Stegostoma tigrinum: one gene and its partner. The protein of the gene in region 1 binds, or shares a complex with, the protein of each later gene. Links are inferred from orthologs where the notes say so. Each region holds a gene or a part of one and is shown in the gene's direction. Other genes may lie near its edges.

Evidence for each region. Proteins that work in one complex are often made in the same cells at the same time.
Region 2: the proteins of AP-3 complex subunit mu-1 (region 1) and lamp1a are in contact, whole or in part, in a cryo-EM structure (PDB 9C5A), measured with the Homo sapiens proteins. The link is inferred for Stegostoma tigrinum from reciprocal best matches to the Homo sapiens genes AP3M1 and LAMP1. Residues at the interface, in NP_001307192.1 of Homo sapiens: Glu178, Tyr180, Phe181, Asp182, Gln381, Val389, Asn390, Arg391, Leu392, Phe402, Lys403, Gly404, Val405, Lys406; in NP_005552.3 of Homo sapiens: Ser410, His411, Gly413, Tyr414, Gln415, Thr416, Ile417.

What each region holds. Positions count from the first base shown.
Region 1 is NC_081390.1:13,539,247-13,550,160, forward strand, and holds the start of AP-3 complex subunit mu-1, read left to right. Parts: upstream 1-6,501; 5' UTR 6,502-6,757; intron 6,758-7,074; exon of another isoform or gene 7,075-7,093; intron 7,094-7,206; 5' UTR 7,207-7,356; coding exon 7,357-7,629; intron 7,630-8,335; coding exon 8,336-8,507; intron 8,508-10,914. Other genes in the region: adenosine kinase-like, read right to left, coding at 5,958-6,016. UniProt on the Homo sapiens protein: Part of the AP-3 complex, an adaptor-related complex which is not clathrin-associated. The complex is associated with the Golgi region as well as more peripheral structures.
Region 2 is NC_081365.1:77,079,666-77,090,573, forward strand, and holds the start of lamp1a (lysosome-associated membrane glycoprotein 1a), read left to right. Parts: upstream 1-6,012; 5' UTR 6,013-6,165; coding exon 6,166-6,214; intron 6,215-10,908. UniProt on the Homo sapiens protein: Lysosomal membrane glycoprotein which plays an important role in lysosome biogenesis, lysosomal pH regulation, autophagy and cholesterol homeostasis.

The sequences.
Region 1 (10,914 bases):
GATATGTTTAAACACCAACTTCTATGGAAACCAAATGATTATGCTGAACTGAAGTATCAGTGTACGGATTTTTCTGAGGAACAAGATATTATCATTTGGCAATCATCATTTCTGGTCACTTGGTTTAGCTATGAAATAGTCCTTGTACCGCCGATGTCAACAAGGTTAGAAAATTTAAAGGAGACTAAACTCAATGATCTATAACTCCCTTGAAGCCTGCCAGAACTCTCAAGTACCTGCTTTAAAGTTGCTTTATATTTATCGTACTTGGAGGACTTAAATCCATTTTCCGTAATCTTTAAAAATTCAAATTTTGTTCAAGTACTCAATGGTTTCTTGAAAAGAACATCCTCAGTGGATTCTTGTACATTACTATTTTAACTAATTCTATAACTTCATTGATTGAGTAGTTTTGATAAACCAATTATTAAGTTTACTACAAGACCTGGTTGATGGATCTCAAATTAAAGCCTGATAGATAAAAAGGTATTTAACTGGTCATTTGATTATGCACTCCTTCAGCCTCTGTCATAACATCCTATAAATGCTAGCCAGTGAACTGAAAATCTCACTCAGAGGGAAACTAACTGGTGCACTTGCAGCTGTCAGTCAAAGCTCAGTTGGCAGTCCACACTTCTGAATCACAAGATCCCTGGCTTAAAAATCAGTGCAGATTCTCCAGCGCAGTGCTGAAGGATCATTGTAAGAGATGCTGCCTTTCTGATGAGCCACTAAACCAAGGCCCCTTCTGCTTGGATGGATAGAAAAGATCCCATCTCACTATTTCTGAAAACTGCAGAATAGGTACATCCATTAATGTCTTACCCACTATCACCTAAAAATCAGTTTGGTTCATCATTTTTTTAATGATTATGTGCATTTCTGTCATTGATATAGGCATTGTGGTGGGGCGGCTCATAAAACTTTTCACTTTATTGCTCATGTAAACGTACAGGTGACAAATGACTGTTCTATTCCAAAGGAAAATTAAGGCAAAATTCATTATAGTTCAGTTAATGAATCCTGGGCTTGGGGAAAGCAGATTTAGGAGCAAAGGCTCAGAGAAACCCCTTGTCTGCAGGCAATCAGTTGTGTTTGGAGAGTAGACAATTATCTGTAAATTAGTAAACAAGTGAAAATTTGCATTTCTGTGAAAAATATTCTGGCAGCCTCGAAGTCACAGGTTTCACAGTCTGCCAGACAACTTGCTGGTGGCAGACCAAATTAGTTCCAGTAACATTCAACCAAAATGACCCACTCAAGAAAGTCTGTTGCACAACAAAAGATGTAACAGCAAAATAAATGATTTCACCCTTGAATCTGCTGTCAGTCTTCCTTTACTTTCCACTCCCAAAATATAGGAATCTATTCAAAGGCCCTGAACAACAGCTCACAAGTGACTTACCTTTATCATTTCTCTCCTGTATCCCAACTGTTTCTACATCCTTGTTTCCTGAACTTAGGTCATCTTTTTCCACTATATCAAACCCATCACTAACTAATAGAGCCAACTCTCCATCTGTATCCGTACAGAAGACTTCAGTCCCAATTCATGTCATCCTGCAGTAATGTCACTGTAATTTTTCTTTAAATTTACTCTTCGGACGTTGTTTTCAGCTTTTTTGCCCACCGCTGGCTGCTTGAGAAGGCGGCGGTGAACTGCCTTCAAGTGCTACAGTCCACATGCTGTAGATAGATACACAATGGCCTTCGGGAGGGAATTCCAGGCTTTTGACCCGTCAATTGTGAAGGAACAGTGACATATTACCAAATTGTTGCATAATAGGCAGATCCACATCAGTGGGGGTATCTGAACCATTGTGCGCTAGAGATCAGAACCACACTAGGGCAGGGGCTAAAGATGAGTGGTTCATGTATGTGAAATGTCCCTGAACAAAGTTATGCTTTTCTCCTCCTTTTATAAACATGTCCATTCTTTTCAGTCCTTGTGCGATAAATAGATTTTGAAATTGTGACATTATGATTTGGATTAAAGGGGTAAGAAACTTTCTTTGAAACGTTTGTCCTAATTCAGTCTGGAGAGGGATAGGATTGATTTTCACTTTAAAAACTTGCTGCAGGTTTTAAGGAGTGAGGATTCTGGGTCCTGCCATTCACAAAAGACTAGGTAAGTTTACCTTATTGTTCAGATGTTGCTACCTGGGATTTGGAAAGAAACATTACAGGTGATGTAAATTCAAAGATAAACAAAAATAAACCGTGAAGTAGTAAGATGCCTGACGATTAATCCAAGACCTTGCAAGTCACAGGGCTGCAAAATATCTCAGGTTAAGTCAGTCACTGGGCAAAAGACTACCAGATCATCCTTGTTCATATGTAGCTGCACTTTGAATTCATCAGTTTTCTTTCAAATGCGATAATAGCGAATTCAGATGGAGTCTTTAGTTGTACCTTAGTAATGTTGTAAAGTCTGATCTTAATTATTTGTTACCCTTATAATTGCCATCTCTTCAACTGTCTGTTTCCCATGTACTACCTTCTTCTTTGACCTCTGCTCTATGCTTTAATTTATCACCATCCCAAATTTGATCCCTTGCCATCCCCAGCCAAAGTACCATGACAAACTCTCCTTCTCAACCTCTCCTCTCACCTGCTGTGTGGTGACACTTAGGTTAAACCATCATCAGTCATTTCGCTCACATGAGAGAGTTAGCCTATAATCCGGTAAGACTATCACAACATTTTACTTCCCTCGTTATGCAGCTGGCAAGAATACCAGCTCCAGCATTGTTCAGGCACAGATCATCTGATCAATACAGATCCGACATGCACTCATTCTGGTACCAGAGCTGCATGAACCAGAACACACCATTCCCACACCAGACTTTGAGCCAAGTATTCTCCTCTCTAATTTGATTTTCCTTATGTCAAATTGCTCAGGAAATAATCCAAAGATTATGAGGTTCAATGAGAAAGCTTACATATTTACGTCAATAAGAGAATCAAAGTAAATATGGGTCCCTTAAAACTGACACAGGAGAAATAACGCAGAATAGCAAACGGCAGAGACATTAAACAAGTTATGAAGTATAATTATGTAACAGTAAATATGCTGCAAAAAATGATTATAGCACACACTGACTGTATGCAGTTGAAACCAGATCAACTGTACTCCCACAGAACAAGCTCATTACAATATATATCATAATGGGAATATCAGAAATCGATAGGCATAGACAAAAATTTGGATTTGGGTTTAAATTCCATTATAGTGTAAAGAACCTGTCTGCTTAATTTTCTCAGAGATAGTAGAAACTGCAGATGCTGGAGAATCTGGGATAACAAGGTTGAAAGCTGGATGAAGACAGCAGGCCAGGCAGCCTGATGTTTCAGGCCTAGGCTCTTCTTCAGAAATGCTAAATTGTTTAATTTTAAATAAACTAATGTTTAATTTTCTGTATTTTGACTGGGGATCAAAATAGGAAAAGGTCTATTTTAAAAATCAAGGATTGCTGCATTGTGTACAATTTGGAGCTTTGGCTTGACATCTGTGGACACAGACACAGAGTTAATGTTTTGAGTCCATGAAGGACCCTTCTTCAAAACAGCATTTTCTATATTTTCCTTCTACAATTATAGCATTCAGCAGAGGCTTTTAAGCCTTTGTGGCCGCTAAACGAGCAGGAATCACAGCACAAATACAAACGTGACCCAGCGTAACTCAATCATTTAGGAAAACATTACCAAAATATCTGTCTTAAGCCTTTCAATGTCATCAGCAAGACAAGACTCTTTGCATAAACAAATGCCAAATTTTCCTTCCATTTAAAACTGCCCGCCTCACTGCATTTTCTTAGCTGCCATGAAGTTACGCTCTATATTTACTTTTTTTGTATCATTTCAAACCTTGTAGCTATATTACCAACTCTCTTGCTACTAGACTGAAAAGGTAGAGTTTCACAAGTCAACCTCCACAGCTTTAATCTAAGAGTTATATCTTGAGTAAACAAGTGGAACAGAACACTCAGTAAATTGTCAAATGACAGGATTGCATAACTTAGCTGCTACATCTACACAATATCTTCGGCACAAGAAGAGCTAGCATGAAAAGGCAGAGTGGCAGAGTGTTAACACAGTATGGAGCTGGAGAAGCACAGCAGACCAAGCAGCATCAGAGGAGCAGGAAAGCTGACATTTTGGGTCGGGTCCCTTCTTCAGGTCCCAAGCCAAAATGTTAACATTCCTCTTCCTCTGATGCTGCCTGGCCTGCTGTCTTCCTCCAGCTCCACACTATTATCTCCGACTCCAGGAGCAGCAGTTCTTACTATGTGAGTGGCATATTGTTATTGCCCTGGACAATTAACCCAGAATAATGTTTTGCCAACATGGTAAAAGGTAGGGTAGAAATTGAATGCCCTTAACAGATCTGGCCTATATTTGACTCCAGACCCACAGCAGAGTAGCTGATTCGTAGCCTCTTTTTCAAGCCAAGCAAGTCTCAGCTCACAGGTAATTAATTGATGGCCTTGACAGCACTCCCCTGAAATAATAAAGGTAGGGGAGAGAATAAGGAAACAGAAAAACAAAATATGCAGAAAAATCCTGGATTAAAATCTTGGATTGGTTTCCAATCAGATATTTAAAAAAAACTTGTCAATTTTAGTTAACTGAGCAAATTGAACAAAAAAAAAGCGAAGGACCAACACAAACGTTGTCACGGTTAAGAATTTCCATTGATTATAGATCGCTTCATTATGGCAACTTGTTACCTCTGCTCATGATGACACCCAACTTGTGAGCTGCTTAATTCCCTAGACTCGTCCCACCCATGAATTTTTGAAATGCACAATGATAAATGTTAATTAGCATAAATAAAAATCTAATTTTCCTTCGTATTCTATGATACTAAAGGCTGCGAAGCTGAAATAGACAAGCATATTTTCTAAATGGAAACTAACAATGAAATCAAAAAACCAAATGGAATAAAAAGATCACAAGTAGGCAAACTGCAGCGTGCTTAATAAATTCGTTCGTGATCTTCACGAAATCGAAGGAACACCCTACTGATGCATGTAGCAAATCTGGATGAAAATTGACTGTTGTGGACCTGTACACGGACATTGAGATCGAACCAGCGATAATCGCGCTGCAAGGGAGGAACCGGAGAGGGGAGACGCGCGTACCGCGAGGAAGGGAACGACCTGCGCAAAGTGGAACTTAAGCGGGGGGTGGGCGAGTCAGTCAGAGACAGAGTGAAGAGCTGCAGGCACTTGATTGCTGTCCAAGTCTATTTTGTGCAGGGGTAGTTAGTACCAGCCAGGACGCAATTACTTTGGGGGGGGGGGGGGGGGGTGTGGGTGGGAAGAGCGCTGGGTTGTGTTTTTGATTACTAGTCTCCGAGTTTCATGAGCTGCAATTTTGATACAACATGAAAGGTCCAATGAAACCACATTTTGGGGAATTTTTAATGACTTTTCAAACAGGCAGTGGCTTTGGCATTACTTGAAGCTTTTCCTTTGCAACGTGAAAGGTCGTTTGGGCTGTTTTGTGACCTTGAGTACAGAGAGGGAAGACAAATTAAAAGTCCAACATTAAGGAGTCTGACCAGCGTGGTTAGATTTTCAACAAAAGGCACAACAGCAAGTAAGAAAAACTAACAAAAAAATCTCAGCAACAAATTAAACCACCACAAAAGCCAATCGTATATTTCAAAAATAAGAGTCTATAAGTCGAATATGCCCGTGGGAGTAGAGCACAACTTTGAAGCCAAACCTGCTGTCTTAAAATTGCTGCAAATGCACGGCGTGGCAGACACTCATTTGAAATATTTCTTGCTTATTATACGAAAGGCATGATCGACTTTTCCTGACAATGAATGAAGAAAATCTTTGAACGTGCGCTGGGGGCAGTGTGGTTTCAAACCATCAACAATCACCGTTTAAATATAAACCAAAAGATCAGGCACTCTGTTTTCATGACTGGGTGTTCCTTTTTACCTGAGGGAATTGTGCTGCAGCTTGATCTTTTTCGCCGGTTGAGGTCCGTCCGTTGCCATTACTTCCCAATTCACGCCGCCGCGCGCTGCAAGGGAGGAACCGGAGAGGGGAGACGCGCGTACCGCGAGGAAGGGAACGACCTGCGCACAGTGGAACTTAAGCGAGGAAGTCAGAGACAGAGTGAAGATGCGCGGTTAGAGGAAGGGGGCGGGGGAGAACTGTAGCCGCGTCGGGGTTGGGCCCTGCGGTTGAGGGGCGGGGCAGGACTGACGGTATGCAAATGAGGAGAGGGATGGTGCCGGAGAGGCGGCGCGTGGGGAGGAGTGTGAATGGGTGGAGCGGCGGGACGTGGACAGGAGGGGTCCAGTACAAAGGAGAAACGACAAGGGCGGGGCTAGCGTGGCAATGCGCATGCGGAGTAGGCAGATCACATTGGCAAGATAATAAAGTGTGAAGCTGGATGAACACAGCAGGCCCAGCAGCATTTTAGGATGCTGCTGGGCCTGCTGTGTTCATTCAGCTTCACACTTTATTATCTTGGATTCTCCAGCATCTGCAGTTCCCATTATCTCAGAGCACATCAGCAGCCCAAGAGGGCGGTACAAGCAGTCAGCAGTGGGAGCGGGGCCCGAGCACTTTAGGAAAGCAGACCATTCAAGTTCATAACGTGAAATATTTGTCGCTTAACATTTTACGCAGTCCAGACCCGCCCACTAAGTCGCAAGCAGTGACCAGCTGAATAGAAGCGCGTGAAGCCTGGGTTTGCCAAATTTTCAGAATTATTCGGTGGTAGTTTTCAGGTATTGGATGCAGACGCGAGAGGGCGGGTAAAAAATAAAATGATCGGTCTGTTAACAACATGGCTATCAATTTTATTAATGATGCAAACAAAAAAGAAATCTATAGGTAAAAGAAGTCACAAAGTCGATTTGGACCATAATAGGGAAACGACGCAACAATCAATCAATTGGCCTGTAATAATTTTGAAAACCCAAAAGTACATGGAGACCCAGCAAGAGACATGAAAGGCGTTGTTTTTAAGTCACAGGACGTGACATTTTGGGAGAAAGCGACCCATGATTGTCCCTTTCATTTACATGCAATGGAATTAGTAAAACAAACCTGTTTCCAATTGGGTTAGCACCAAAATATACCCACTTCCCCTCTCAATCCCCTTTTTCGTGCAGAACTCGTGCGGTGATTCATGAATGTTTTATATTTTCTTTAAAATCTCGTTTTCTGTTTCCAGGAGCTGCTTCCGGCGGCGCCGCCGCCATATTCCTGGGGCTGCTCTTTGACGGATTGATTTGATGCCTGTGAGGCTGTTCGTGTGGCCGGGCAACACCGCTTCACGGTTTAAAAGGACACAAATAAACCGCTGGGACGAAACAAGAAAAAAATGATCCATAGCCTGTTTCTCATCAACAACACTGGCGATATCTTTCTGGAGAAACATTGGAAGAGTGTGGTGAGCCGGTCAGTCTGTGATTATTTCTTCGAGGCCCTGGAGAAAGCCGCGGAGGCGGAAAATGTGCCTCCGGTGATCCCCACACCCCATCACTACTTGGTCAGCACGTACAGAGACAAGATCTTCTTCGTTGCTGTCATTCAGTCCGAAGTGCCACCTCTCTTTGTCATTGAGTTTCTCCATCGAGTGGCAGAAACTTTGCAGGTTTGTACACGCCACACGTAAGGGGGAAATCAAAAAGTCCGTCACTGTAAATGGAACTACCTTCGGCGTCTTCTGTCAGTTTATTTCGATGTGAAGTGAATCTCTTTGCAGGAGAATCTCGTTTGGGGAATTTACCGATGTTGCGCCTAACACTGAATGTGTCCTAGCTAGAGCCTGGGTGGGAGTTAGATGATGGTTGGGTTCAAGTCCCCTTCCAGAGACTTGAGTGTACAATTCAAGAAAACAACAGAGATCCTGTGGCCATTCGAAACTGTTCTACCATTCGGTGTAACCTCTTGGGGTTAATTCAACAGTTTTTACGTACTCCCCAAACCCCTTGATTCCTTGAGATACCAAGTGTATTCAGGGAGTACTGTACGTATTGTGGGAGAGAGGGTGCCTCAGATGAGAAAGGAAATCGAGGTCTTGTCTACCTTCTCAGGCGGACATAAGATCCTTTGATACTGTCACAAGGAAAGGGGCATCCTGACTCTTGATCAATATCATTATCACTTAAGACATGATTTACGATGTGTAGCATTCTTGGATTTTTGACCCAAAAGTGCTTGCATTTTTTTAGAAGTACTAGCTATAAAATGAGTTGTCCCAAAGCTGTAAAATGTGCCGTTAAGTGTATATTTTTAAAAATCTTCAGTCTGACACAAATAGTTTAATTAAGGAATTGCATTATCACATTGTTCTTCAGGACTATTTTGGAGAATGCTCTGAGGCTTCAATTAAGGATAACGTTGTTATCGTGTATGAACTTCTGGAAGAAATGTTGGATAATGGTTTTCCATTGGCTACTGAATCCAATATCTTAAAAGAACTAATTAAACCTCCTACAATTCTTCGCTCTGTTGTTAATACTATTACAGGTAAGAAGTGGCTCCTCTACCTCAGCAAAAGAGTGGTGTTCAGAATTATGAGGATTTTTTTTGATACTAGGAATAAACTCTCTTCTCTGGCATGAGGGTCTTTAAGCTAAGGTTACAGAAGTAAGATAATTTATAAAACAACTGAAGGGGTGTGAAGACACTTCTGTTTTTCCATACAGGGTTGTTGAGATTTGGAATATTTTACCTCAGTCATGGAAACAGATTCTGTAGGTACATTTAAAAGACATATTTGGTGAGGACCAAGTTATAAGGCTGTTGGAAAAAAGCTGATGGATGGGACTAATTCACGTCGCTCTTTCAAAGAGGCATTGCCTGACCCATCTCCTCCTGTACTGTAAGATTGTAAATTTGAGCAATGGGTCTACATGCATGGACCATCATCAGATTGAAGATACACATTGTGCTTAATTAACTTCAGTTGAGGTAACACTGTTGATATACTGAACATGGACGTGCAAAAGCATTTGTCAAATTGCTGTGCCACAAACATGAGCAAAGTTAAGAGCTCATGAAATAATTGCTACAGTGGCAATATATTTTCGAAATTAGCTGAATAACAGGAAACAGCAATGTTTAATGGAAACCAAACAGACATTGCTGGATAAGCTTAGCAGGCCTGGCGGCATCTTTAGAGAACGTTTCAGGTCGAGTGACCCTTCCTCATGTGACGAGTGCCCTAGGGATTGGTGATAAGATTCCTGTTCTTCTTGATGAATATGAATATCTATACCGTGCACAATTTCAGAATGTGACAAAGACACAAAAATTAATCTTTTAATGAACTGAGAGGGGGTCATGCAAATCCTCAAATGGACGTAAGTTACATGAAATGGGTGGAGAAATGGCTGAAGAAGTTGAATGTAGTAAAGTGAGAAGTCATTCATATTTGTCAAAAGACCATGGATGGGTCAGTAAAAGAAAAAGTACAATTTTAAAGAGGATGCAGAAGCAGGTCAGCCAGGGTATATTTGCAGAAATATGGAGGTCAGTCAGCTTATTTAAATAGCTTACAATGCAGAATAACACGAGTAGCATTTACTGCACCAGTTGATGAAGGTCCCACGTTCTCAATCTCACTTGAGGTGTGGTGATCATCCGGTTAATCTCACCACTAGTAATCTCTTTCGTCAGCGATCAGCCCTGTCATGACTTTACCTTTACTGATCTCTGTGAATTAAATTAAAGCGGCAGCACAAATTGAAAGTGCAGTTAATAAAGCAGACGGCATCTGAATTTATCAGTAGAGGCGGTGAGTACAAAATCATGGAAGTTGTGTTTAACTTGCATAAGCTCGAGTTCAGCCCTCATTTGGAGTATTGGATTTAGTTCTGGCTGCCTCACTTTGGAACGGATGTACAGATGGTACTGAAAAAATTCACAAAATTGGTTCCAGCAATAGGGAACTTGAGTTTTATGGACATATTGGAGAGAGAGAGTTTAATTTGGAAAAGAGAAGATTGAGGGAAAAGTTGACAGGTATTCAAAGTCAAGAGGCATCTGGACAGAGTAGATGTGGTGGGAAAGTCTGTTCCCATCAGTGAAAAGATTGAAAAAGTGTGTGTGTGTGTGTGGATTTATAGTACTTGTGAAAAAACAGTGGCAACATATGACAAAGCATTTTTATAGTAGGGAGTGGTTGACTTTGAAATGTAATGTCTGAGTATTATGGAAGCGTGTTCAATAGAAGATTTCAAGAGGAAACTGGGATTTGATCGGAATGGAAAAATGTGCAGGGTGGCAAAGAGAAAGTAGGTAAAGTGGCACCAGGTGAATTGCTGCTTCAGAGAGCCAGCATAACCTAATTCAGATCAATCTGAACAAGAGATGTTGTTACACACTTCTGAAGCAGGTGGGACTTGAAACCAGACCTCCTGGTTCAGAGGTAGGCACGCTAAGACAGTGCGACAAAAGCCCTTATCACATTTTTATATGCTGTAGCCAGTCTATAAGATCACTCTTCCACTTATCTCTGTAACCAGCTGTATAAATGAAAATGACATGGCAGTTTAAAATCAGTTCCGCTTCCCAGGTGAAACTGTTGCTAAGACATGGACATCATTTTGCCCAAAGCTAGGAAAAAAAAGAGGAAGGAGGCTGCACTGTAGCCTTCAGAAGGTTGACTTTACAGTTGAGATTACTGAAGTGGTCAAAAACTACTTAAACTATGATTTCCCTGCTCTTCATCCAGTTTCCTGAACTGAAATGCTTACGATGTGGAAAAGTTTCAGTATCTCCAAGTTGGGAGACGTTGCAGTACTGCGCAAAAACAACTCTGAATGATTTCCACTGTTTAGAAATCCATCTTTGTAGAAATTTCTTATGTACAGTATTAGCATATACTATTACAAGGAATGGATGAAGTTATACTTTTTTATATTTTTAATTG
Region 2 (10,908 bases), on another chromosome or scaffold:
CACGCCCTTACCACTCTCTGAGTAAAAAACCTGTCTCTGACATCTGTCTTAAATCTATCACCCCTCAATTTGTAGCTATGCCCCCTTGTACAAGCTGAAGTCATCATCCTCATTTAAAACAAAATACTTCTTTAATGTTAACTTCATTGGCAACCTTCCAAGTAGTGACTGGATGATCTACATACAGTGGTCAATTCTGTTTTAACATCATCTGGTGCAAACCAGGACTCCCACTCCAGCAAGGTAATGACTGCTGCATTTGTTAGACCATTCCCTGGCCTTTGCTTTCTCTGGATTGCTTTCATACCCAGTGAGCTATTAGATTCTGCTCAGTTCTTTCAATGCACTTCCCAATAGTCAGCTTCCAACCACAGCCGTTAGAACCCATCTCTCAGATATTCCTTAAATGGTGAGTGGCTAGTACAAAGGCAAATGTAGTCATTTTACACTTGTATCTATGGCTATCTCATTGTTTAGGTTGTGCGGAAGGATGTTGTGGAGAGTAAAGAAATGCCATTCACAAATAAGTAAGTTTGTACATAGAACAGCACAGCGCAGTTCAGGCCCTTTGGCCCACAATACTGTGCCGAACCATTACCCTAAACCTAAGGCCTATCTAACCTCCACCCCTACCTTACACTATCATCCATATGCCTATCTAATAGCCACTTAAGTGCTCCTATGAGGCCAACCCCTCTACCCTCTCCGGCAATGCATTCCACATCCCTACCACTCTCTGAGTAAAGAACCTACCTCTGACATGTCCCCTATATCTGCCTCCACTCACTTTAAAACTATGCCCCCTTGTAATAGGTAACTCCACCGTAGGAAAGAGTCTCTGGCTATCCACTCTATTGATACCTCTGATCATTTTGTACACCTCTATTAAAGCATCTCTCATCCTTCGTCTTCTAAAGAGAAAAGCTCTAGCTCTCTCAACCTTTCCTTGTAAGAAGTTGGGGGGAAGTGATAGAGAAATGCAGCACTCTATCAGCACCATATCCACAAACATTCATTGCCTTCATCACCCATGCTGTGTAGCAGCAGTGTGTACCGTGTACACATTACACTGCCAAAACTCATTTAGTTTCCTCCAACAGCACCTTCCAAACTCATGACCATTTCCATCTAGAAGGACAAGGGCAGCAGATACATCGGATTACCATCACCTGCAAGATCCCATCCAAACCACTCACTATCCTGACCTGGAACTGATGGAGTTGTACAGTGCGTTGGTTAGCCACAACTGGACTACTTATCACATTGCTTTTTGTGAGATTGGGATCTTGCATTTCATGTAAATTAGTTGCTGCATTTCCTATGTTACAAAAATAAATACACTTCTGAAGCATTCTGAAAATCCGAGTGAGTGTTGCGTCCTTGTTCAATAAAGAGTGTCAGTCAGCTTAACTTAATTGGTGCCATTGGTTTCTCTCTTGCTGGAGATGATTATTGCCTGATAACTTGTGTGCCACAAATGTCACCTTTTTTTTTCATTCATGGGATGTGGGCATTTCTGGCTGGGCCAGCATTTACTGCTTATCCAGAGTCACCCTTCAGAAGGTGCCTTCTTGAATCACGGCAGTCTATGTCCCTTAGGTAGACACAGAATGCCCTTCAGGAGGGAGTTCCAGGATTTTGACCCAATGAGACTGAAGGAACGGTGATATATTTCCACGTCAGGATGGTGAGTGGTTTGGATGGGATCTTGCAGGTGATGGTAATCAATGTATCTGCTGCCCTTGTCCTTCTAGATGGAAATGGTCATGAGTTTGGAAGGTGCTGTTGGAGGAAACTAAATGAGTTTTGGCAGTGTAATGTGTACACGGTACACATGCTGCTACACAGCATGGGTGATGAAGGCAATGAATGTTTGTGGATATGGTGCTGATCAAGTGACTACTGTATCTTGGATGGTGTCAAGCTTCTTGAGTGTTGTCAGCTGCACTCATCTAGGTAGTTGGGGAGTATTCTATCACATTCTTGACTAGTGCCTTGAAGATGGAAAGTGAGGAGGTGAGTTACTTGCTTCAGTGTTCCTAGTCTCTGACCTATTCTTGTAAACACTGAGTTATATGGTGAGTCCTGTTGAGTTTCTGGACAATGGTAAACCCCCCCCCCCCCCCCCCCGCCCAAGATACTGACTGCGGGAAATTCAGTGATGGTAACCCATTCAATATTATGGTTATAGGGTGATGGTTAGAATCTCTGTTGTTGGAAATGGTCAATGCCTGGCATTTGTGAGGTGTGAACATTACTTGCCTTTCTCAGCCCAAGCTTGGATATTATCCAGGCCCTTCTACATTAGGACATGGACTGCTTCAGTAACTGAGCCTGGGTTCAAGTCCCACCTGCTCCTGGAATGAGTAGTAACATCTCTGAATGGATTGTTTTATTTATTTTTCCTAAACTATCATGCACTGTACAAAGGAACTGTGAACAGATGCACTTCATCAAACACTTAAGTGGGTGAACAGAATTGTTGTGACTTAGGATACAGGTTAGTTATTAGGATACATTAAAGTGCCCTGAGGATTTCCTGCAGTCATATCCTCGTACATGAAGGATGGGTCAGCAAGTTTGCAGACGACACAAAGGTCGGAGGTGTCGTTGACAGTGTAGAGGGCTGTTGTAGGCTGCAGCGGGACATTGACAGGATGCAGAGATGGGCTGAGAGGTGGCAGAAGGAGTTCAACCTGGATAAATGCGAGGTGATGCATTTTGGAAGGTCGAATTTGAAAGCTGAGTACAGGATTAAGGATAGGATTCTTGGCAGTGTGGAGGAACAGCGGGATCTTGGTGTGCAGATACATAGATCCCTTAAAATGGCCACCCAAGTGGACAGGGTTGTTAAGAAAGCATATGGTGTTTTGGCTTTCATTAACAGGGGGATTGAGTTTAAGAGTCGTGAGATCTTGTTGCAGCTCTATAAAACTTTGGTTAGACCGCACTTGGAATACTGCGTCCAGTTCTGGGCGCCCTATTATAGGAAAGATGTGGATGCTTTGGAGAGGGTTCAGAGGAGGTTTACCAGGATGCTGCCTGGACTGGAGGGCTTATCTTATGAAGAGAGGTTGACTGAGCTCGGTCTCTTTTCATTGGAGAAAAAGAGGAGGAGAGGGGACCTAATTGAGGTATACAAGATAATGAGAGGCATAGATAGAGTTGATAGCCAGAGACTATTTCCCAGGGCAGAAATGGCTAGCACGAGGGGTCATAGTTTTAAGCTGGTTGGTGGAAAGTATAGAGGGGATGTCAGAGGCAGGTTCTTTACGCAGAGAGTTGTGAGAGCATGGAATGCGTTGCCAGCAGCAGTTGTGGAAGCAAGGTCATTGGGGTCATTTAAGAGACTGCTGGACATGTATATGGTCACAGAAATTTGAGGGTGCATACATGAGGATCAATGGTCGGCACAACATTGTGGGCTGAAGGGCCTGTTCTGTGCTGTACTGTTCTATGTTCTATGTTCTATGTTCAGTCTTTTATCTTTGTGCTCACCAATCAGCGGGTACTTTTTACCCCCAATTCCCATTGACTTCAATTTTACTAGGGATATATGGTGCCGTAGTTTGGTCAAATGTGGCCTGGATTTCAAGGGTAGTCACTGACATCTCACTTCTGGAATTCAGCATTTTTTGTCCAGACTGAAATGAGGTCAAGAGCTGAGAGGCCCTTATAAAACTCAAATTGAGCATCAGTGAGCAGGCTATTGCTAAGCTTCAATTAGTAATACGGTCAGTAACATTTTCTTTCAATTTTCTCAGATCAAGATAGACTGATGGTGTGGTAAGTGGCCATTTTGGATTTGTTCTGCTTTATGCAGACAGGACAGCTGTATACACTGCCAGATAGTTGCCAGTACTGTAACCGTACTACATAGCTTGGCTCCAGATACAGCTCGTTTTGCTGGAATGTTGCCAGGGTCCACAGCCTTTGCTGTATCCAGGGTTCATAGCCATCCTTTGATATGACATGTGGTGAATCAAATTCCCAAAAGACTGGAATATGTGATACTGGGGTCTTACAGAGGAGACTGACATGAATCATCCACTTGCGACATACTGACCGAAGATGATTCCAAAACCTTTCACTTCTCTTTTTGCCCTGACATGTTGGGATTCCCTGTCATTGAAGATAGAGATGGTGGTAGGACGTCATCCATGAGCTAGTTATATAATTGTCAAACACTGTATGACCAGGTGTGGCAGAATTGCAGATCTTAGATCTGACCTGTGGACTCTGGTAGCCCTTAGCTCTGACAAATGTTATGCTGATGTTTAGCGTTTAGGTAGCTTCATGTTGTAGTTTCACCATTTTTAGGTATGCCTCGTGGTACTCTGGCATGTCCTCCTGCACTCTTTGTTGGAAGCAGAGTTGGTACCCCTACTTGATGGTTATGGTAGAGTACAGAATATGTCAAGCAATGAGGTCAGATTGCAGTTGACTGCAATTCTGCTGCTGATGTCCCACCTCACCGATGCCCAGTTGCCTCAAGTAGCTTGAAATCTGCCTCATTTAACAGAGCGGTAGCACCACACACACACAATGAAGAAGGAAAGTATAGTAAGACTTATGAATGATACATAATGGTCTGACTTACAGAGGAACATAAGAAATAAGAGCAGGAGTAGGACACCTGGCCCATCAAGCCTGGTCCACTATTCAATAAGATCACGGCTGATCTTTTCGTGCACTCGGCTCCACTTACCCAAACACTGACCATAATCCTTAATTCCTTTACGGTTCAAAAATGCACCTATCTTTGCTGTAAAAAAACATTCAATGAGGTAGGCTCAACTGCTTCACTAAGCATGGAATTCCACAGATTCACAACCCTTTGGGTGGAGCAGTTCTTCCTCAACTCAACTGCTCCCCTTTATTTTGAAGGTATTCCCCACAGTTCTAGTTTCATTCACTAGTGGAAACAATCTCCCTGCTTCTCTATCAGGTATTGTCTTATAATTTTATGGGTTTTTATAATATTCCCCCTCATTCCTTTAAATTCCATAAAGTATAGTCCAAGTCTGCTCAATCTCTACTCATGAGCCAACACTCTCAATTCAAGAATCAATCTAGTGAGCCTCCTGGGCACCTCCCCCAGTGCCAATACATCCTTTCTCAAGTAAGGAGACCAAACTGTACACTACTCCAGGAAGGGCCTCACAGGCACCCTATGGAGCTGCAGCGAAACCTCCCTGTTTTTAAACTCCATCCTTCAAGCAATTAAGTCTTTTGTATACCTCAAAGCAGAGCTCCAGTCATAGTGTCTCAGAAATGTACAGCATGGAAACAGACCCTTTGTTGCAACCATCTATGCCAACCAAATATCCTAAATTAATCTAGGCCTGTTTGCCAGCTTTTTGCCCATATCCCTCTAAACTCTTCCTACTCATTTACCCATCCAGATGCCTTTTAAATGTTGTAATTGTACCATCCTCCACCACTTCCTCTGGCAGCTTATTCCATACACACATCCCCTCTGCAAGAAAAAGTTGCCCCTTAGGTCCCTTTTTAAATCTTTCCCCTCTCAACTTAAACCTACACCCTCCAGTTGTGGACTTGGCCACCCTGGGAAAAAGACCTTGGTGTCACCCTATCCATGTCCCTTATGATTTTAAATCTCTATAAGGTCACCCCCTCAGTCTCAGCCCTGCCAGGGGAAAAACAGCCCCAGCCTATTCAAACTCTCCCATTTTTTTTTTCTGATGAAGGGTTCAGGCCCGAAACGTCAGCTTTTGTGCTCCTAACATGCTGCTTGGCCTGCTGTGTTCATCCAGCTCCACACTTTGTTATCTTCCTGATAGCTCAAACGTTAGCAACATCCTTGTAAATCTTTCAAATCAGAGTGATATATTCATTTTCAAGTACTTTGTAAACTAGTTTTATTTCCGGGGCACCAGGTAAGTGACTCTCTTGCTGGAGGTGTGGTCAACAGGGATCAGATGGGCTGAAGGTCCTCCTCCTGTAGTGGGTGGGATTGGCTGGGGTGATTGACAGGCGGACCGGCCCCGCCCCGCGTGATGTAATCAGTCACATGAGCGTCCGGACTTTGACGAGCTGTCGGACTGAGAGACACCGAGCGAACACAACACGACCCAGCACCGACCTTCCTTCCCCCAACCCACCGGACACAAACACATCTTCCGTCTCTTACCGACTGTCACCATGAGTCGCGCCGTCGTCTACCGTCTGTTCGCTCCGCTGCTGCTGCTGGGTAAGGAAAAGGGCCCTGCGGCTGCCGCTGGGGCCTCGGCCTTTCGGTCGCTCTTGAAGCCGGCTGACATTGTCAGCGGCCCTGGGTTGATTCTTGTTTTTGGTTTTTATTTTGGCGGTGGGGAGACTGCTGAGTGAGGGAGGGCGAGGAGGAAGCGGACCGCGGTCTGACGGTTACCCGGAGGGTGACTGTGGGGGTTGGGGAAGGTGGAGGTTGGAGGTGTTTCACGTGATCGGCTGTCACGTGAGGCCTGGAATGATCGAGAACCCGGAGCAGGGAGAGATTGGGGGTGGGGGGTGCGCGCGATCCTGCACCCCGGGTTTTGCGGGGAGGGGGTGGGGGCGGTGCGCGATCCTGCACCCCGGGTTTTGCGGGGAGGGGGTGGGGGCGGTGCGCGATCTTGCACCCCGGGTTTTGCGGGGAGGGGGTGGGGGCGGTGCGCGATCTTGCACCCCGGGTTTTGCGCGTTCACCCCGGGTTGTGTGGGAGTGGAGAGGAGGGAGTGTGATTCCTCACCTCAGGTTGGGGGAGAGGGAGGAAGGGAAAAGAGGAGATGATCCCTCACCCCGGATTGGGGGCAGGGAAGGAAGAGTGGGTGTGATCCTTTAGATGTCCCGAATCTGGCATAACATATCCCAGGGTTGGGGGCCCCATCCAGCTTTCTGGTTGGCCACATTTACCATTACGGTTCAATTATTTGATTAATTTACTTCACTGAGTCTTGTCCTTTCTTCCACTTTGCACTGTACTGTATTCCATAGTTGTTCTTGTGCTTTTAACACAAATTTAACAAATTAATTCAACTTTTTAGCCTTGTTATGTGATTCATTTCTAATCTTTTGCCTTTCTGACCTCAGTTTTCTAGTTTACTCCAAGGTGAGAACATTCAAAAAAGTGTTTCACTCAAGTTATCATTTTTAAAAACTGAGTATTAACTATTAATAGACCTTGATGCTGTTAAGTGTACAATTGGTAGCTGGATGTCAGGCACATGTGGATTCTGCAGACACTGTGGCAGAATTTCTCAATAAGTAGCATGGTTATTTCACAAGCACAGAGGTGTTGTCAGTAGAATGGCCATAAAGTGCAGCATAAGAGTTTACGAGAGACTGTCTGAAAATCCCAATACGCCGCATCCACTGGTTATATTCTTAAACTCCAGTAGGTTAGTCAAACATGTTTTCCTTATTATAACTTTATGTTGACTTTGTCTTGTTATTGTACCATTTTGTAATAGACTATAGCATTTTAACAACTACTAATGCCACACCAATCTGTTGTAACTTCCTGTTTTCTCCCCTTTTGTAAAAAAATTGCTTTAGCATTTGCCATCCTCTAATCTGCTGACACTGTTCCAGGCTCAAAAAATATTTGGAAGATGGCATTCACTATTTCCATGGCCATTTCCTTTAGCACTGTGGGGCATAGATTATCAGATAAATCCTGGACACTTGTCATTTTTTCGATCCATTAATTTGTTGAGTAGTTTTTTTAATCTAATAATTTTAATTCCCTCTCATTAGACCCTTAGTTTCCACAGCATTTCTGGCTGCTTATTTGTTGTCATCTTTGAAGACAGAGCTAAAGTACTGGTTTAATTACTTTGCCATTTACTTGTTCGCCATTATCAGTTTTCTCATTTCAGACTGCGGGACCTGCATTTACTTTCACTAATATCTTTCGCCTTACAAGCATTTAGAATCTTTTACCAGTTGGTTTTATGTTTCTTGTATGTTTACTCTCATTCTAATTTTCCCTCTTAAACAATCTCTTGGTCTTCCTTTGCTGAATTCTAAACTGCTCCTTCAGGCTTGCTACTTTTCTCGTAACTGTACCTGATTCCTCTTTGAATTCAATAATATCTTAATTTCTTCTGTTAGCCATGGTCACTTCTTTTCTTAACCCTTTCTAAAGTAAAAGGACATAATTATTTCCTGAAACCATAACTATGTCCTCTTAGTTTGGGGTCAGGATTCAAAACATCAACTTTCCTGCTCCTCTGATGCTGTCTGGCCTGCTGTGTTCCTCCAGATCCACACTCTGTTATCTCTGACTCCAGCATTGGCAGTTCTTACTATCCTGTTATTCCCCCATTATGCCTTTTATGTTGTCCAATTTATTGTAGCCAATTCACCCGTCATGTATCATAAATTACTTTTCCTGGGATTTAAGACGCTAATTTCAGATTCATTTACTTCACTTTTCATCCCAGTGAAGAATTCTTTTATGCTTTGGTCTCACTTCCCTTAATCCTATACGGACCCTTTCCCAATGAACAGGACTAAATCTAGGATAGCCTGTCGCTGCTTTGTTTTGAATACTACACTCAAAATCTTGTAAAGATTACAGTAATTGATCCAACGTAGTATTATTAGTAATGTGGTTTGACCAGTCCATATGTAGATTAGAGTTCCTCATGATCACTGTTATCACATGCCTTTGTAATTTCCTGTTCAGTGCCATTCCCTACTTTACTTTTGGGGGGGCATGTAGACAGTTCCTACTAATGTTTACTGCCCTTTTGTTACTTTGCAGATTAATTCTGTGTCTAGAGTTTGAATTAATGTATTCTCACTTGTACTGATTTCATCCATTTCTAACTATGCCATCCCACCCCTCATTCCTTTAGTTCACTTATTACCTTTATATTTGCTTTTTTAACATACTTATGCATTATTTTTGTGCTACGTCCCTATTTGTTACAAGCACTTCTTTCCCATTGCCTTCCACTTTTGCTTTCGATACTTATGTATTTCATTTACGTTCCCCTCTTGTGTCTCTTTTATTTCCAGCCACTCTAGCTTAAAGCTCTCTCCGTAGTACCAGAAAATGCTACTGCAAGGATACTGATACTGATCCTGCAGGGATGCAACCCATCCAGCTCGCAAATGTGCCAACTTCCCAAATTAGTCCCAATGCCACGGGAATCTAAATCACTCCCCCCTCTGCAATCTTTTCAGTTATGCATTTGTCCGCTCTGTTCTGGCATTCTTGATCTTGCTAGCATGTGGCATTCTGGGTAGTCCTAGGATGATTATCTTTGGAGTCTTGCCATTTCACTTAATTCCCAGTTTGCTATTCTCTGCTTTCAGGGCTTCATCCTTTTTACCTATGTTGTTACTCAAATGGACCAGGAATTCTGGCAGTTGATGCTGTCTCTTCAGAATATCTTGCAACTGTTCACTGACATTTTTAAGCATCTTATCTGTTCCCCTGGTAATAGTGATAGGAGATTCTATTATTTTAACACCTTCTTCTCGGAGTGAGATGACCCAGAGGACTTCTGCATAACCTGTCTAGTGCTTTTACACTCTGGTCACCTGTTCCCTCTCTTCGTACTCTTTAACTACGATGTGAGCATCTTGCTATCCATTAAGATCTCAGGCTTGTGGATGCTCTGTCACTGCTGCAGGTTGAAAACGCATATTTCAAGTGGCTTGCGTCTGAAGTCACTTCTCGTGGTGGTGTACTTGGTCACCATGAACACTAATGCCCTTGACTTTCCATGTGGTTTAGGAGGAACATTCAACATGGCTGACCTGCTTTGCCTTAAGTTGTTCCCTTCATGTTTTCTTCTTCACGGTTGAAGAATATTAGGTGGATTAGGGGTCTTGCTTTATCATTTGCCTTTTTAAGCACTGATTAATCTGAATGGAATACCAATTTGCACTTTAAAGACCGGAAAGTATAATTACCTAGTGCTACCAAGGTCGCTGCTCCTTTTGCACTAGCTCCAGTACTATCTGGATCAACTTGTGTTTATCCTGTGGTGTCACTTTGCATGTTTTCAGAAATCATCTGTCTTGTGCAGCTTCTCCAAGGCGTGACCAATAAGTGCCCTGTTTACTTGTGATGTCATGTTTTATTTTTCATTCAAGCACGACCGTCTCTCAGACTTTACACCAGCTCTCGGTTGAATCCCCCTCTCGTGCTGTTTTCAAGTTCTTTGGAATTTTCTCTGTTGTGATATTTGTTAATTGGGTGTTGACAGAAGTCAAAATTTTCTTGAGCTGCTAGTTTCAGGAGTGGAAAGGTATCCTGTTCTCCTTTAGAACTCGGAGAATGTTTTCTGATCTTTGTTAGTTGAATATATGCTTTAATTTTAGATGGTAGGAGGAAGCCATTTGGCAGTTAACTGACATCAAAACAAATTTAGTTGATGCCTTTAACGAAAAGAGGAAGACAGTAAAGTGAAGTTATTCCCCACTTGCGACAGCATATTCAACATGTCTCCCATCCTGTGGGCGTACTTGCAATATTTCGTGGAGTTATAGAGATGTATAGCATGAAAACAGACCTTTTGCTCCAACTCGTCTGTGCCGACTGGATGTCCTGTACCAATCTAGTCTCATTTGCCAGCATTTGGCCCGTATACATCTGAATCTTTCCTGTTTGTATACCCATTCAGATGCCTTTTAAATGTTGTAATCATATCAGCCTTTTCCACTTTCACTGGCAGCTCATTCCAGACATGCAGCACCCACTGCGTGAAAAAGTTGCCCCTTAGGTCCCTTTTTATATCTTTCTCCTCTCTCCTTAAACCTGTGCCCTCTAGTTTTAGATTCTGACCCTGGGAAAAGACCTTGCATATTTACCCTAACCATGTGTCTCATGATTTTATAAACCTGTTTAAGGTCTCCTGTCAGCCTGTGACATTCCAGGGACTATAACCCGAGTCTATTCACCCTCTGCCT